Linked DNA regions of Lonchura striata. The protein of the gene in region 2 purifies or fractionates together with the protein of the main gene of each other region. This does not show direct contact. Links are inferred from orthologs where the notes say so. Each region holds a gene or a part of one and is shown on either strand. Other genes may lie near its edges.

What was found.
Region 1: the proteins of MAPK6 (region 2) and CEP170 purify together in Homo sapiens (affinity purification with mass spectrometry; 3 studies listed by BioGRID and IntAct, with this or other methods). This does not show direct contact. The link is inferred for Lonchura striata from reciprocal best matches to the Homo sapiens genes MAPK6 and CEP170.

Annotation. Positions count from the first base shown.
Region 1 is NC_134605.1:31,172,563-31,180,540, forward strand, and holds the start of CEP170 (centrosomal protein of 170 kDa), read right to left. Parts: upstream 3,082-7,978; 5' UTR 2,887-3,081; intron 2,242-2,886; coding exon of another isoform or gene 2,214-2,241; exon of another isoform or gene 1,925-2,213; intron 1-1,924. Other genes in the region: SDCCAG8 (serologically defined colon cancer antigen 8), read left to right, coding at 3,653-3,719.
Region 2 is NC_134613.1:12,692,949-12,699,998, forward strand, and holds the start of MAPK6 (mitogen-activated protein kinase 6), read right to left. Parts: upstream 3,049-7,050; 5' UTR 2,886-3,048; intron 1-2,885. UniProt on the Homo sapiens protein: Atypical MAPK protein. Phosphorylates microtubule-associated protein 2 (MAP2) and MAPKAPK5.

The sequences.
Region 1 (7,978 bases), on a different chromosome or scaffold from region 2:
TTCCTTTCTAGTTAAAATAAAAACAATTTGTTGTATCTCAGTTCCATTCTTCCTTCAAAGCTAAGAAAAGCAGTGCTAACATGGAAACTGCCCTGTTAAGAGAATCAAGAAGATACTATGGTATACCTTCTCCCTGCAATGCCAAGAACTGGAAACTGTACAGCAAAATCAATTTTTGCAACTACTCATGCCTTGGGTTTCATTCCAGGCATTTGAGGAACAACTACAACCGAACATAGACTTTTCCAGTTCATTTTCATAAGCTGGAGCTTTTCTGGCTTGTATGTTATCAACAGAATTTTTAAGAAATTTTGCTTGTCAAGTCCATTACAGCAGATGAAAGTCAATATAGAAATAACCTTTTTTTTTTTTTTTCAAGAGTTAGACTAGATATGGGAAATAGCCATATGTCAAAACCACTCCCCAAACAATGCACTGTCATGCCAAAGTTTGGTAATGTTATGTGTAGTAAATATAATTCGCACCATTCCTTGTATGAAATATGTAATATTGGATACTTGTTAGATTATGCCTGTTTGTATTAGTCCCCCTGTCCCGTCCCCCCCCCCCTTTGCAGGCGAGACTGGGTGTATATTGGAAACTGATTTACAAGTAAAAGGACGTGGCTCGCCAGGAGATGGGCCATGTCTGGACTCCAGGTGCTGACCATCGGGACTCCAGGTGTTGATCATCGGGTACTGATCATCGCATAAGCGACCCGAGATGGATATCATGGAAATCCTCAGACAGATACATGTGAATACAGCCTTCCCGTAAATCTTATCAGGGATTCACCTACTCTGGACACTGAATTACTCCTCCTCATCACCAAAAAAGTAAAATCTTATTAACCTATGGACTCTGAATAGAAGAAAAGACTGATTGCTGAAATCTTGGCCTCAGGCAGAATTTTCCCTATAAAAACCGCTTGTGCCAGGATGGAGGTGTGTGGGCATAGGGAAAAACCTCTGCTGAGGCTGACTCCTTGTTGCACACCCAGGGCCAACCCTGGGCTCAGCACTGTCTTTTTCTGTGGCTGGCTAGATAGAATTCGACCACTTATAAAATTATTTTTATTTTTAATCTGGCTGAATAAATTCTCATTTATAACAGTAACAACTTATAAATCAGATGGTTTGTCTTCAAAAGAATTAAAGAAAGCATTTTAATCTGATCCATTTCAAGTAACTTCAAGATTCTTGAGATTTTGACAAATTCTTTGTATCCGAGCTGCACTACTATCTCTATTCAGCCAGCCTTCCTAACCTCCACCAGACAAAGGAAAAAAAAAGCCAACAAAAACAGAACACTTACATGAAGGTGAAAAAGTGTTTAAAAAAAATGATAATCTAAGAGTGAAGGGAGATTCTTTGCAGTGTTTCTGTTTAACTTTTTCCCCGTTAAATCAAATTTAAAGTTGAGGAGCTTCCATATCAGTAGAGTTCAGCAAGACAGACTTCTCAGCATCTGGACATAAAGTAATTCCCAGAGGAAATTAATCATAGGAAATCACAGCATATGCAGTCGTCTCCGTTCAGTTTACAAAAACTGTCCCATCCCACATATCATTTTGCAGACACAAGCCCAGGGCCAAGAACGCTGTCACAAAGCCTTGAATGGCATTCCAAAGGAGAAAAGATGATCATTGCAGCGCCAGAGCAGGCTTTATTCTTTCAAAGTACTTAAATATTTTATGAGTACCTTTGCTTTCACAGGGAAGAAAATAATTTCCTCCAAGTGCAGATCAGCGGATGCTATCTAATCCCTTGTCACAATAAAGCAATCCTTATGTACACACAACTCATCAGCATACCATCTACGTCTCTTTTTTTCCCACCAAGCCGCGAGCATTGGTGGGCTAATTGTCGGCTTATGCTGAAAAAGCGCTCAGAACGCGGCCGCCCGCGCCGGGAGCAGCGCTCGCCGTGCCCGCCCGGCTCCCGGCGCGGACGGCCCCGCTGCCCGCGGAGCGTCCCCGCCCCTCCCGCCCGCTTCCTCCGCTGCGACGCCGCTTTCTGCTCGAAAATCGCCATCGGGTTTTTGTTAGCGCAGTAACCCGTTCGTCTCCACGGCGGGCACACAAAGTGGGCCCGGGCTGCTCCTCGCCACTGGGACAAAAACCTCGATTTCATGTTTTTCCCGGGAAGCGCCTCGAAAAAGGAAAAGCTCACGCCTTCGGGAGGATATTTTCGGAAGCAGGGGACCCGACTCGTATGGTGGAAATACGCAATATGAGAAAAGGTGAAACCCACAGTTTTTCTCCATCATCCTTTCACAGAAGACATTATTTCAAGGAGACGAAGGGAAACGCCGCATCCCAGACGAAGGACGTCACTGATTTTTAAATCCGGAGAAACACGCTGCCTCCAGCCCCGGGGAGGGAGCGAAAGAAGGTCACCCCCCAAAAAAAATTAAACCTCTGGAAACGTCTCCGCTGGAATCGCGGAAATCCACCCGCGGGAGGGGGGGCTGCGCAGCCCCGGGGCTGGGTGGGTGGGTGTGCCGAGGCGCCCCGCGGGCGGAAAGGGGCAGGGAGACGCGGGCAGCGGGATCCAGCAGCACCAAATGCCAGACGTGGGATGCCGTCCGCGTCCCGCCCGAGGCGATGACCCCCCGCCACCGGCGATCCCCCCGCGCTGACGAGGGGAAAGGGAGGCGGGGGCGCGGAGTAACCTGCGGGCCGGGCGGGGACAGGGGAGGGGGAGCGAGCTGCGCACAGACCGTGTTACCTCCCCCTCCGCCGGCCGCAGCCCGCCCGGGTCCCGGCGGGCGGTACCTCCTGACACAATAGGCACCGGACGGACCGCGGCGCGACCGTAGCCCCTCTCCCCGCCGCGGCTCCCGCCCGACCCGCAGGGCGGCGGCGGCAGCATCATCCTCACTCACCCCTCCGAGGAGGCTCGCGCGCCGGGGAGGGGCCGTCGCTAGCGGGTGCTCAGCGAGCCGGCATCCCGCGGGATGCGAAGCGAGGGCGGAGCGCTCGGTGTCCCTCTGGCAACGGCCCCGGCGTTATTCCCTGCACATAGCGGCGGCTAACGGCACAGCGGCGCGGCACCGCGCCGCACTGCGCACGCGCCGGGGCCGAGCGGCCGGCGGGGCCGCGCTGCGCCTGCGCGGCCCGCAGACAATAGCGTTCCCCGAGCTGCGGGCGCTCCCCGCGCGGGCGATGGCGGGAGGTAAACGGCGCTTCCCGCCCCGATCCGCCCCTGCCGTGCCGGGACCGGTGCTGAGCTCGCTGCAGGCCTGAGGGCGTAGGCGGGCGGGCTGTGCTGTGCGCAGGCGCGACTGCGACCGCGATCCACAACAAAGGGGATACGGCTCGCGGCGACCACCCTTTCCCGGTTGCCGGTGGTGGGCGGTGGGCGGGAACTCTGCCGCCGGCGGCGCGGTGCATGCCGGGACTTGTAGTCCTGGCGGAGGCATTCCCGCCATCGGGAAGCGCGACGGATTCCTGGCGTTGCTAGTTTCAGCTGCGGCGGCCGACGGCAACGGTTGGCCACCAGGAGCCGGAGGGACCCCCGCAGATGTCTCCTCCGAGAGCTCAACGTGGGAAGGTAGAACGGGTGGAACTACTGTCCCGCAGCCTCCCCGCGGGGAGCCCCCGGTGCTGGGAGACAGCGCCGGCTGCTGCCCGGCAGCCAGCGGCGTCCTGATGCGGGCGCCCCGCGGGGAGCGCGCCCTGGAGGAGTCCCTGGAGCGATACCAGAGGCGCCTCCGAGGTGAGCGGCACGGGCGCGGGGCGAGGCCGGGCTGCCCCAGCCGCCGCCCGGGACCGAGGAGCGCCCGGGCCGGGCTGGGACGAGCGCGCAGCGGGGAAGTTGGGCTGGTTGTCCCCACCCCCGATCACAGGCGCTGTGACACGCGCTCGTGTCACCGTAACGCTCCTCGGGCAGGACCGCTGCTGCTTCGGGTGCGGTTTTCGTGGTAAAGATGAGTGTACAAATGGACTCTAATGAGAGTGGTTGTTTCCCATATCATTGAGTGTTTTCATACCTGACACTTTGTCCAAGAAGCGTGGTGTATAGCCTGACAGAGAGCACCTGAATCTGTCAGCCGTGACACCTAGGCTTACCAGCCTTCACACTGTCACTGACTGGGCAAAGGCAAATGTCCAAATTCTGAAGAAAGCCAGTGGATAGTTTGTGGGTATGTGAACCTACTGGTGTGAAAAGTTGTGTTCTGAGCACAGTACCCCAATATGGCATGTTGGGATGTTTCCTGTGCCATAAAAAACAACATTGCAAAAAAGAAGAAAGAAACAATAGAAACATTTTCAAATAGCTACTTGATTCTCAGCAAATCTTTTTTTACTTCCATCTCAAAGGAGCATCAGTTCCTTATATTAGCGATAGATCTCTTCTGTTCCACAAGATAGAACTTTAAGGAATAATTTCTATCTACTTCTCCTGTAGATGAAATGGACATGGTAATGCTACTTGACACTTGCAGTTAACAGTTATCGCAGAACAGTTAGAATGACTAATATCAGGGTTGTTTAACTGTGTGTGAGCCTATTAGAGCTGACTGTATCTAATGGATACATTGGATGCATGTATTCTCTTCATACAACTTATTTTCATTTTTTTTTCTGACTGGATCTCCTTACACTGGATCCATTATATGTGTTAAATAAATTCATAACCTGAATTTCTGGTGAGCCTTTCCCCTTTACATTCTTGGACACAAGAATTTTCTTTCCATACAATGCCAAGGTAGTTTTGATCTCATGCATCTCGGGGTGCCTCTCATGTAGAAATCGATATGGTGATGCACAAACAGCCCCAATACAGGGCGATATAACTCAAGTTTTGTGGTGTTTCTCAAAGAACCTCTTTATTTCTCAGTGATGTGCAATTTTAACTCCTTTAAGCTGTACAGCATTTTCCACATCATTACTAGCAGTGTTAGGAATTCACTGTAGGATAAACATCATCGTTACTCTCAAAGCTGTCAAATCTAATGCTTTACCTATTTCTCTTATATAGTTATACAACTTGAGATTTTTGTCCCCATTGGGATGACCCTGTCATCCAGGTTCTGCAATTTTACGTGGCATGCTTTGGGCATTATTTGATGCTTTTGAAATAATGTAATGCTTGACATTATCTGGATGCAGGCCGAGCTCATAGCAACGGCTTTTCACCACCCATGCAGGATACCAGAAGAATCACTTTACTGCCTTACTCAGTTTGATGGAAGGGTGCTTAAGTTCTCAAAGAGCAGCTGATTATTTCAGGGCAATGTCCTTTGTTGCAAAGGGAAATCCCTCAGAAGATGGGGAGCCTGAGTGTTCAGTAAACTGAGTCTGATTGCCAGAGGGCAGAAAGCTGGACCAAAAAATCCTGATTAAGACCTACCTGGTCTTAGAGCTTAAAAGATAGGCTTTGATAAATAACAAAGGTTCTATAATGTAGTTTTTCCTGACCTTGTATAATGAAAGTCTTTAATGCTATGTGTAACTCTAACTCAAGAGGGTGGTATTTGTACAGTTGGGGTTATTAGGTTACTGCATAAACTTTCATATAATTGAGACCATTTCAAATGAACCTTAAAAACTTTAGGAGATTATATTTCTAATAAAAAGTCTTCTCAAGGGAGTAGAAGTATTTTCTAAATGATAATAAGTGGTGTGTTGCTGTATTCGTGTTAATAACTGAAAATTGACAGGTATAGTGTAAATGTCCAATGGCCCTTCTACTATACCACTGCCAAGAAAAGAGCATGATGCCTTCCTGTGACTTTCCCCTTTTCTCCTAACAGCAGTAAATTGTGAAGGCTGTTTAGAGTCCAGTTCTTTCTTGAACAGAGAACTATTAGCTTATACTTTTATGTTGAGTTTTCTGCCTCTTGAGTGAAGAACGCTCACTCACTGTTGGACCTGAGCCATTATAAGTGCAGGAACAAAGGTGGGGCAAGCAATCCTTTTTAGGTACTGAGCCTGATACACTTGTCTATCTCAAGTCTGTCTTAGGGTATTGTGAAAATTACATTCTGTATTCCACTGCATTGCTGAGTGCAGTGTCCTACTACATAATTTCAGAGAATGGAGATACCAACCCTAAGAGAAACAGATGACAAGATAAGACTTTTTGGAATAAAGTTTCATTTTGTGGCTGTTCTTTGTTATTCCAAAAATAAAACAGGAGAGATGGGAAGTCAAAGCCATCTTATGTGGCCCAGTTTCTATCACTACAAATTAGCTGTCATACTGAAGCAGCTTAGAAATACATTCTTAATGATTTTTTGCTTAGGCTTTTATTTTTGTTTGGCAGGTGTTTCTAGGTATTCTTCCGAACATAAAATGTTCTTTTAAAGGTGGAGAATCTGCCACAAGGAACTTGGCAATGAGGTTTTCGTATATGAGGGTTTCTAGAACTTAGGCAAATGCTTTATGCTCTGCAGAAAGGGCTGGTGTAGGAACTTGTAACAATGACTGCTGTAACAGTGCTTTTAAATATAATAGCTTGGTAAAAGTTATGCTGAAAACTACCTATTTCTCATATAAAAAGAGACCAAGAATGTCGCTATAGGACACAAGAAAGCACAACACGAGCCACTACGATGACAAGGTAAAAAAGAAGAGGGTTTATTTTTCTGACTCCAACTTTTATACTTTTCCAAAGGTGACAGTGGATTGGAGAGTGAATGGGCCACCTCTCCAAAGACATTGAACAAACCACCAGTACATCAACTTCCTCCACTCCCACGAAGGAATGCAAAACAATATGTTGTTTATAGAAAATGTGTGGGAAAGTTTTCTAACAGAATGTAAACTCAGAAGGCTTTAGAAAATCTTAAGAATCAGGGTGACACAAGAAACCAAATCAGAAGGATTTATTACTTTGGAACAGCTGTGCATTTCACATATCGGGATCTTTTGAGGCCTGACTGATGAACAGGCTGGTCTTGCTCATTGCTGCATGTAAAATCCTAGCAGTACAGGTAGTGATAGACAGGATATTTTTAGTCTCAAAACTCCCATATAATGTGCTACTTTCCTGGTAGCATACCTGCGTTTGGCAGCCAATAAAGAATGGAATGAAAAGCTGGATGTCAGAATGGGAAGTAAAGTAAGTTCCAAGATGTTCTAAACACAAAAAACCCTATAACCAAATTCTCAGTTTCAGTATTTTTCAGCAGTTACTTGACTGAAAGATATATGGTATAATATTTTAGATTTTTAGCTGTCAATGGAAGAAAGTTGATCTCATTTTGGACATGAATTTTTTTTAAAATGGCTATGATCTTTTTGCTTTCACTAGTGTGTCTATCTGTTTTGTCAGTTACTGTTTCACAAAAATTTTACAGTGGTTTGCTTTGCGTTTTTTTAAGACATAAAGAATCAGTGTGATTCCTTCTCTAATTTTCTAAGGCTGTTTGCTGATTGGGAACCATGAGATATCAGCAAGTGATGCTTGTTTGTTGAATTTATAGCCAGTAATTTCATGTTCTTGTAGACATTATTAGAACTGGACTGTTAGGTTTGGGTGACAGACTTATGATAACTTTTTCATGGAATTGCCGTTTGTTTTCTTCAGTGTATGCTGCTTAATGATTCTAGCAGCTGGAGTTATTTTCCATGTCTTTCAGGCAATTCTGTTGTTTTGGATGATTGATTCTTTTGCTCCCAGAGTATTTTCTATGGCATTTCCAAGTCCATGAATGAGGTAGCTTTGGTGCTTTCATTTAAAGGAGTACTCTTTAGAAAGAGTGCTGTGCAGTGCCTGAGAAAACATCTCTTGTTTGGGCAATGCTAAACAAGTTCAGCGCCTTCTGGGTTTTTTTCCTGTTTTGACTTCAATGGCAAATTGTTTTTACACTGATTTTTTTTTTTTTAATTTATTGAGTTTGATCCATCAAATTTGGGTGCTAGCTTGTCATTTTTTCATAATTATCTCAGATCCTTTAAACACTGAAAACCAAAGGGCTTAATAGTAAAGTTTTTTTTTTGAAGTTTCAATCCACATCAGTCCAAATT
Region 2 (7,050 bases):
AAAGCCTGCTGCTTGTCTGGTGTCCTGGTGCAGAGCCCACGCTGCTCAGTGCAGCTCTGCAGGCTGTGGGACAGCCAGCACCAGGGCAGGCAGGGCACACAGAGAAACAGCGGGACCTGGGGGAATGCAACAGTGAGGGAGGTGAGAGGCTCAGTGTTTGAATGATCTCCATCATCAACTTCTCTATAATCTCAGGTTTTGGCTGTTGGAGAGATGGCCAGAAACTACATGTGACTGTGTGCAGGGGATGAGGAGAATGTTAACTCTAGCCCAGCTTTCTGATGGTTACAGAGGCTGTAATTTCATTTTCTTTCCATTGTATCCTATGTGAAAAGCATTCAGAGTCATGCCGCACCCCCTAAATCCTATTAAGAAAAACCAGACCTCGTAAAGCTGTTTTCCAGCATGCTGAATTCAGGTTTTGTGGCTCTGTTTGACAGTTTTCCATTAACTCCCAACCGAGCAGAGGCAACCAGGCCACTGAACAGCAGCAGAGCAGGACTCCTTGCCCAGGTGCCTTGCCTGGCTTGGATGTACATCTCAGAGCCCCCTCCCCAGCCTCAGCAGAGGCTGTCCCACCCCTCTGCCACTCAGCAGCAGCCAGGGGCAAGCAGGACCCCTCGAGGGGAGCCAGCTCATCCCAGCCCTCCTGCTGCAGGGGTTGATGCTGCAGCACATCTGAGGCCACCCAGTGCCACGCCACTGTCACCTGTGGGACAGGCACTGCTGCAGGAGGGACTGGCTCACCTGCAGCAGCAGCACGGACTGTCTGGAGCCCTCCAGCATCATACTGGCTGCCGTGCAGGCAGAATCCAGGAAATACTTCCCCAAACCCACCCTTGTGCTGTTTAAAACAAGCTTTTATTTATGCTGCTGCTGGTGAAATATACCTGAGAATCTATGTAAATGTACAGAAAATAACCTGAGTCTCCAGTCTACCTTCACTTGTATTTTTCTTGAAGCTCTGAGGCTCCTCTCCCTCTTCAGAGCAAACACAGCATTTGCAGGAGTAAATCTGCACTTATGTAAGTTTCTGAGAATGCCAAGTTGAAAGTCTGACAGAAGAAAAACTTCTGGTATAAACCTATTTTTTTTTGTGTTTTCAAGAGATCTAATCTATCTTCTGTGCATTCCTGACCTTCAGAAAGCATTTTCATCTCACACGTTAAGTATAACAATCCTCTTAACAGGGAACATTTTGTTAGAGCTTTAAATTGGGTTACGTCAATTATTTGTAGTTCTGACAGCAGGTTTCTCTTCCGTCCACGAGGACACTTGTTATGAGCTTGCTACAAGGTTCATTTGCAATCACTGCAGATAATCATCTGAGGGAACTGTTTGAAAGGAGATTTTATCCGGGGCATATGCTGCGAGTTTGTCAAGGCTTTTTATAAAAGCAGCGTTTTTGCCAAATAATTTGCAGTACAGTAACATGCATGAGAATTAAGACATCCCTGATGGGGATGGTAAACTGAGTGAACAAAAGTTTTTCTAACTTTAACAAACTTTAGGAGGTACAGAACACAAAGGGAAAAAACCCAAAAATATATATGTATATAGGTGGTACTGAGCATGTCTCAATTCATGGTTTTACTTTTGTTGACTGCAGTAGGAATTGTAAACAGTCGAGATGAGGCTCTTTGTTCACACTAAGTACTTGTTCAGGAAAAAAGCAGTAGAGAAAATATTCAGAAGTTACAGCACTACTTTTGGGGTTGTATCAGAGCAGCCAGTGATTTAGAAACAGTTTGCAGTACCCTCTTTTCATTATTTCTTTTCCCCAGCCCCTAGACAGGCACAGGTTGGCCACTGGTTGTGAATGGGCAGAGTTCTCTGGCAGCAGAGCTCTCCTGCCTCCCTTTCTCTTGTCACTGGTAAGGCTGATTGGGGAAAAAAAGTTTCTACTGATTTCATCACGGGTGGGAAAAGAAAGGCATAATTTATAAATTTGGACTGATATTTAGGTTTCCTATTATATTTAAGAGCTTGTAACAACATCCCCCTCCCCAGTAAAGCAATAAAACAATATTTTATTAAAATTGAAAGTATTTTGTTTGGCTTTAAGAACAATGATGTACTAAAACAAAATTTTAAAATTAAACCTTTCAAATGAAAATATAGACATGTAATTTTTAAGAATTTTTAAGAGCATTTCAGATTTTTTTTCCGTAAGCAACAACAGCAAAGAGTTTCATCCCAAGCTAAATACAAGCCAGTCCAGTAAATCTGATTTCTACACTCCTGCTGGCATTACATTCTCCACAACAGTGGTGCAGAAACCAACAAACCCTTCTGCAACATCAGAGTACCCCAAGGAGCCACAATTTCAATGGAGGAGAAAACCTGTGTGTCTGTAAACCACACATACACAAACACAAGACCCGTGCAAAAAGGTACTCAGCAGTTTTTCCCACAAAACTTAACATCTGCTAACATTTCCAAATCTGCCCAGGAATGCTTTTTTGGTATTTCCAATTGCATTGAGCTAACTGGTGGTGTTTTATCTTTCTCTCCCCTTCTTTTTCTATGCCAAACATTTCTTTTCAGCAGTCTACACAGAGTTGTCTCATGGTTTTATTAGCAGTCTTTCTTAAAATACCTTATCTACAGAGAACGCAATGTATTAGGGCTTCTAGGGACAATGTTAGCTATTTCTATGAATTATCTAGAGACACTAGCTGATTAATATGAAATTATTTTATTTCTATAAAAGACAATATATATATATATATATATATATATATATATATAATAAATATATTATTTTGGCAATTCTCAAAGAGAAAGAGATGTTTCTAAGTGTTAGTTAGAAAGATTCATCTTTACACTTCTTTCTCTCTAAAAAACAGATCTCATGGGAGAATACACACAGACATTTAACTTACCATTACTGCAGCTATCTTTTGAATTCCTCAGTATCATTAATATTTAGTAGAAAGAACAGAACAAGCAATTATCGTAAAGATACCACACCAGAACTAACAAAGTGATTTTTAAAGAGTCATCCAGAAGAAGTGAGAAGGTCAACCAGAAAACACGAGTCAGGAATAGCTGTGCTCCAATGAGGAGGGGAAGGTTATGTTGCTGTGATATGAGTAGTGCACAGCTGTTACTCTAGTAATAATTCATCATATTAATATTTAAATGAGAGGAGGAGGAGGAAGAAGAGGGCATGAGATTGTGTGTGACTCAATGGTCCCTCCCTGTCCTCAAGCAGAAAATAGGCCACCAATAGAGAAAGAGCATTAAGAGCTGCAGAGTGGGAAGGTTTGTTTTCACTACCTCATGAATAAAAGTGGACAAACTGGTCCCTGAAGAAGTCTAGAAATTATCCTGCTTTTATTGCAGCAAGTGAAATTCTGTTTATAGTCTCAGGAGCAGCCATTGCCTAATGAACAAATTGATGTAGCAACCAGGTCTGCACGTGGTGCTTCTTGGATTTCAGTGTATTTCCAGCAAGCCTCTACACTTCCTCCAAGGAGCTGCCTGCAGGAGTCTGGCCTGGCAGTCCCTCACAGGGAATTGCTGAACTGCTGCCCGTTACCTAAAGACACATTTATAAAACCATTTCTGTATGAGGGCTACCTCACCTGCAGGCTGGCTGCAGTGCCTGGGCCCATGGGGGCCTCTGGCTGGGCAGCTCAGGGGAGAGAGGAGGAGCAGGGATGCAGGGATGGCTGGGGGGCTGTGAGGAGCAGGGATGGCTGGGGGGCTGTGAGGATTGTGAGGAGCAGGGATGCAGGGATGGCTGGGGGGCTGTGAGGATTGTGAGGAGCAGAGCCTTGGGGAGTGCTGGAGGTGGAGCAGCAGCACCCAGCAACAGCAGGCTCAGCCCGAGGTGCAGGGCTGAGGAAACAGCTGATGTAGGCATAACCAGACAGATGTGGGTGGCATCCCTGGCAGGAGAGGCAGCCTGACTACACTTGGTTGCATATAGGGTTGCACAACTTTATCCAACAATTCAATATAAAGCCACCTCTCACATGCTGGGTTTTGGGAGGCTGGGATTTTCTTTTGAACACTGTACAACTCCCTCCTCTTTGTTAGCAGAAGTGTTACTGTGATAGCCCTGGCTGAGCATTGCTTTGTTGGCTGTATAACTCTAAAAAGGTAATAAGCAACCATTTAACCAGGAGCAGATATGGACTCACAGAAATGGCCGTGAGGCTAAATAAAAAATAGTTCGTAACAGAACAAATCCACAGAAAAGCATTTGGTTTAGTGCTTGGCATGAAAATACAAGGTACACAAAGTACAACATTAGGAGATGCCAAACTCATGCTGTAACATCAGTTCTCAGCACACCAAATTCTTCCTCAGAAATTTTCTATTTTTTCCTATCCAAGCAAAGATGTTCCTCCCTCCTTTCACTTTGTTAGCTTAATCCTTTATGAACAAGTTTGCAAACAACCTGAGTTAACATTGGTATTTTTAGCTGACTGTTAGGAAGACTTCATTTACTGTATCCTGTACAAAATTATTTGTTATTAATGCACTGCAGAAAACACCACTCATCAGATCATCTCCATATCCATTGTCAGTATCCCAGCAAAGTAACATTTAAAACTGGTCCTCATGACTTGCTCCAAAGGTTTATCATGAAAGTGAATCAGGCCCCTGGACATGTTGTAGGACTGCAGCATATTGATTTAGGCTGCTTTCAAAAAGTAGATGGCAAGGGTCTGCAGGACGATACCTCTTCTCTGCTTTAGTAATTACACATTAGCTTGCAGGGATTTGGTTCTTCCTTCTTGGATTTTGGAAGTGCTGGAGGAAGAGACCACCCATACTGGTTTAATCCCTGGCAGAGCCCTCCCTCCAGCTCCACCACTGCTCCTGCTTCATGGGTAGGACAGATACATGAGGCTGGAATTAACCACCTAATGCACCTACGCTGCTGTTTCACTTTAATTCAGAAGAAAAAAAAAAACATGGACAAAGGCAAAAAAATTCTTTGCAACCACTGAATAGCTAATTGAAGGCAAATGTGTCATGGAAGATAAACATTTTCAGGTACAGATTGGGCCAGCTGACAGATTTAATAGCTTCCATAAAACAGCAGATTGCAACAGTTTTTACAACTGTCTTTATAGGCAACCATCAATTTCCATCTGGACTTGGTGGCTACCAGATCAGTGTGCTGTGTTTGAGGAGATGCAGAAGGCCAGGCTCAGATTTTCTCTTCTTTCAGTGACAGAAGTTGTCAGTTTAATCCAAACCCATGGTCTTGATTCAGAAGAGGCTATAGCCTCTGGTGATGCGTACATTTGAGGTTAAGTTTTTTCAGGCTTTGTCTAATGCCTGCTCAAATGCCCCACAATTCCAGCCTATGCTCTTATTTAAAAGGGGAAAACTAAACAAAGGCAAATTCATGCTTGCCCTGGGAACAGAGGGGTCAATGTGAAGAGCCATGCTGACACCACAATCCCCAAACCCTCAGCAGATGCAAATTCTAATTGAATTAGCATGTGTTAAAGATGCAAATGGCTGAGTGCAGCCCTGGCAGGGTCAACACAGCCTACATCTGTGCCCAATTTTTCCTTAACCAAGCCTCCATGGCTTGGTCTTCCTAGTTGAAAGCGGGCAGTTGAGCTTTTCCAGGGCCACACAAGGGGACAAACTCCCCTCTGGCTCTGCCAGGGCCACGTGGTCCACTTGAGATATTAACAAATGCTCTCCGAAGTGCTGTGACTAATTTAGATCCCAAGTAACAGCAGCAAAGCTTACTTAGTTATTTAACAGTCAAAAGAGAGGGGTAGGCTTTTTGTAGTCTAAACTTTATGAAGTGATAAAGATCTATTAATCATCTAGCATGCAGTTTATCTACTGACAAATAGGATTAAAAATAGAGCAGGTAGTTTCGGCTCCTTGTTTTTTTGTTTTTTTTTTTTTTTTTTCTTCTTAATTGGCATGAGAACAGCAAGCTGGAAGGTGAGGAAAAAGAAGGTTGCTGAGGATGCTGAGCACAAAGCTATGGCTGATCTGCAACCAGAGCTCTCTCAATTATTTTCTCTCCCTGATGAGGCCAGATCTTAGGTACCCTTGAGTGGCCCTTTTCTGTAATAAGGATCTCAGTATTTGGCCTATTCATATTTTTAATTTCATTTCTCTGCACTTGGTCCAGGAAATCACGAGGCTTGTCTTGGCATTTTACCACAGGAATCAATGCAGAGAATTCTTCCTTTTAAGTGCTTGGCTCTGCCTCAAGAGTTTTTTAATCTTTCCTTTCCTAAATGTAATTGATTGACAGGGAGTGTGCATCCCTGGGTCAGTTTTCAACTCATGTTCCTAATAGATTAACTTGAAAAAAATACAGTTTCACAAAGAATTTTCCTTGGGACAGTCTGAAAACCCTTCTTGTCAATAAATAATTCCTACCAAGTGAAACACTGACAGAGCTATGCTGCTCAGCTAAGGATACTGTGAAACATTAACCTCCTTCTCTGTCCCATGGTGGCAGAGACTGTGTTTTGCTGCTTTGTGACCTGTGACTGACCTCACCATGAACTCCCAGATTTCAGGAACACCTCCTTGAAGTTTGAGATTGTGTTGGCACCTATATTTAAAGAAGCAGATGGGAAACAGAAGCTTTCATTTCTTCCTTGTCTCTACTGAGCATTATGTACAGTGGGAGTGGGTCAGATAGTGCCAGGACCACTGTTCCTCCTCCAGGACACAAATTTGTTCCCGCTGCTGCTGGACAGGAACCATGACACTAGAGATGCCAGGGCTGTCAATCCATGGAGCTCCAGGACCTTGTGATAAATTCCTGAGGGTACCAGAGGGTGAGAAGCTCTGGGAGACGCCTCCACACTCCAATAACCCCAAGAGAGGGTGTGCCCAGAAGATCATGGGTGACACCAGAGCAGCACGGGGACAGGAGCCACCTCACCAGAATCCTGATTGACACCTGTGCCTCTGGCTCTTCCTATCCAGCCTCGCCCCTGCACTGAGTAACATCTCTACACCCACACTTCTCCACACCCACAATTCTCTCTCCTTCACCCTGGCAGTGCTGGCAATCCAACAGCCTGTTCACTGCTGTTCGCA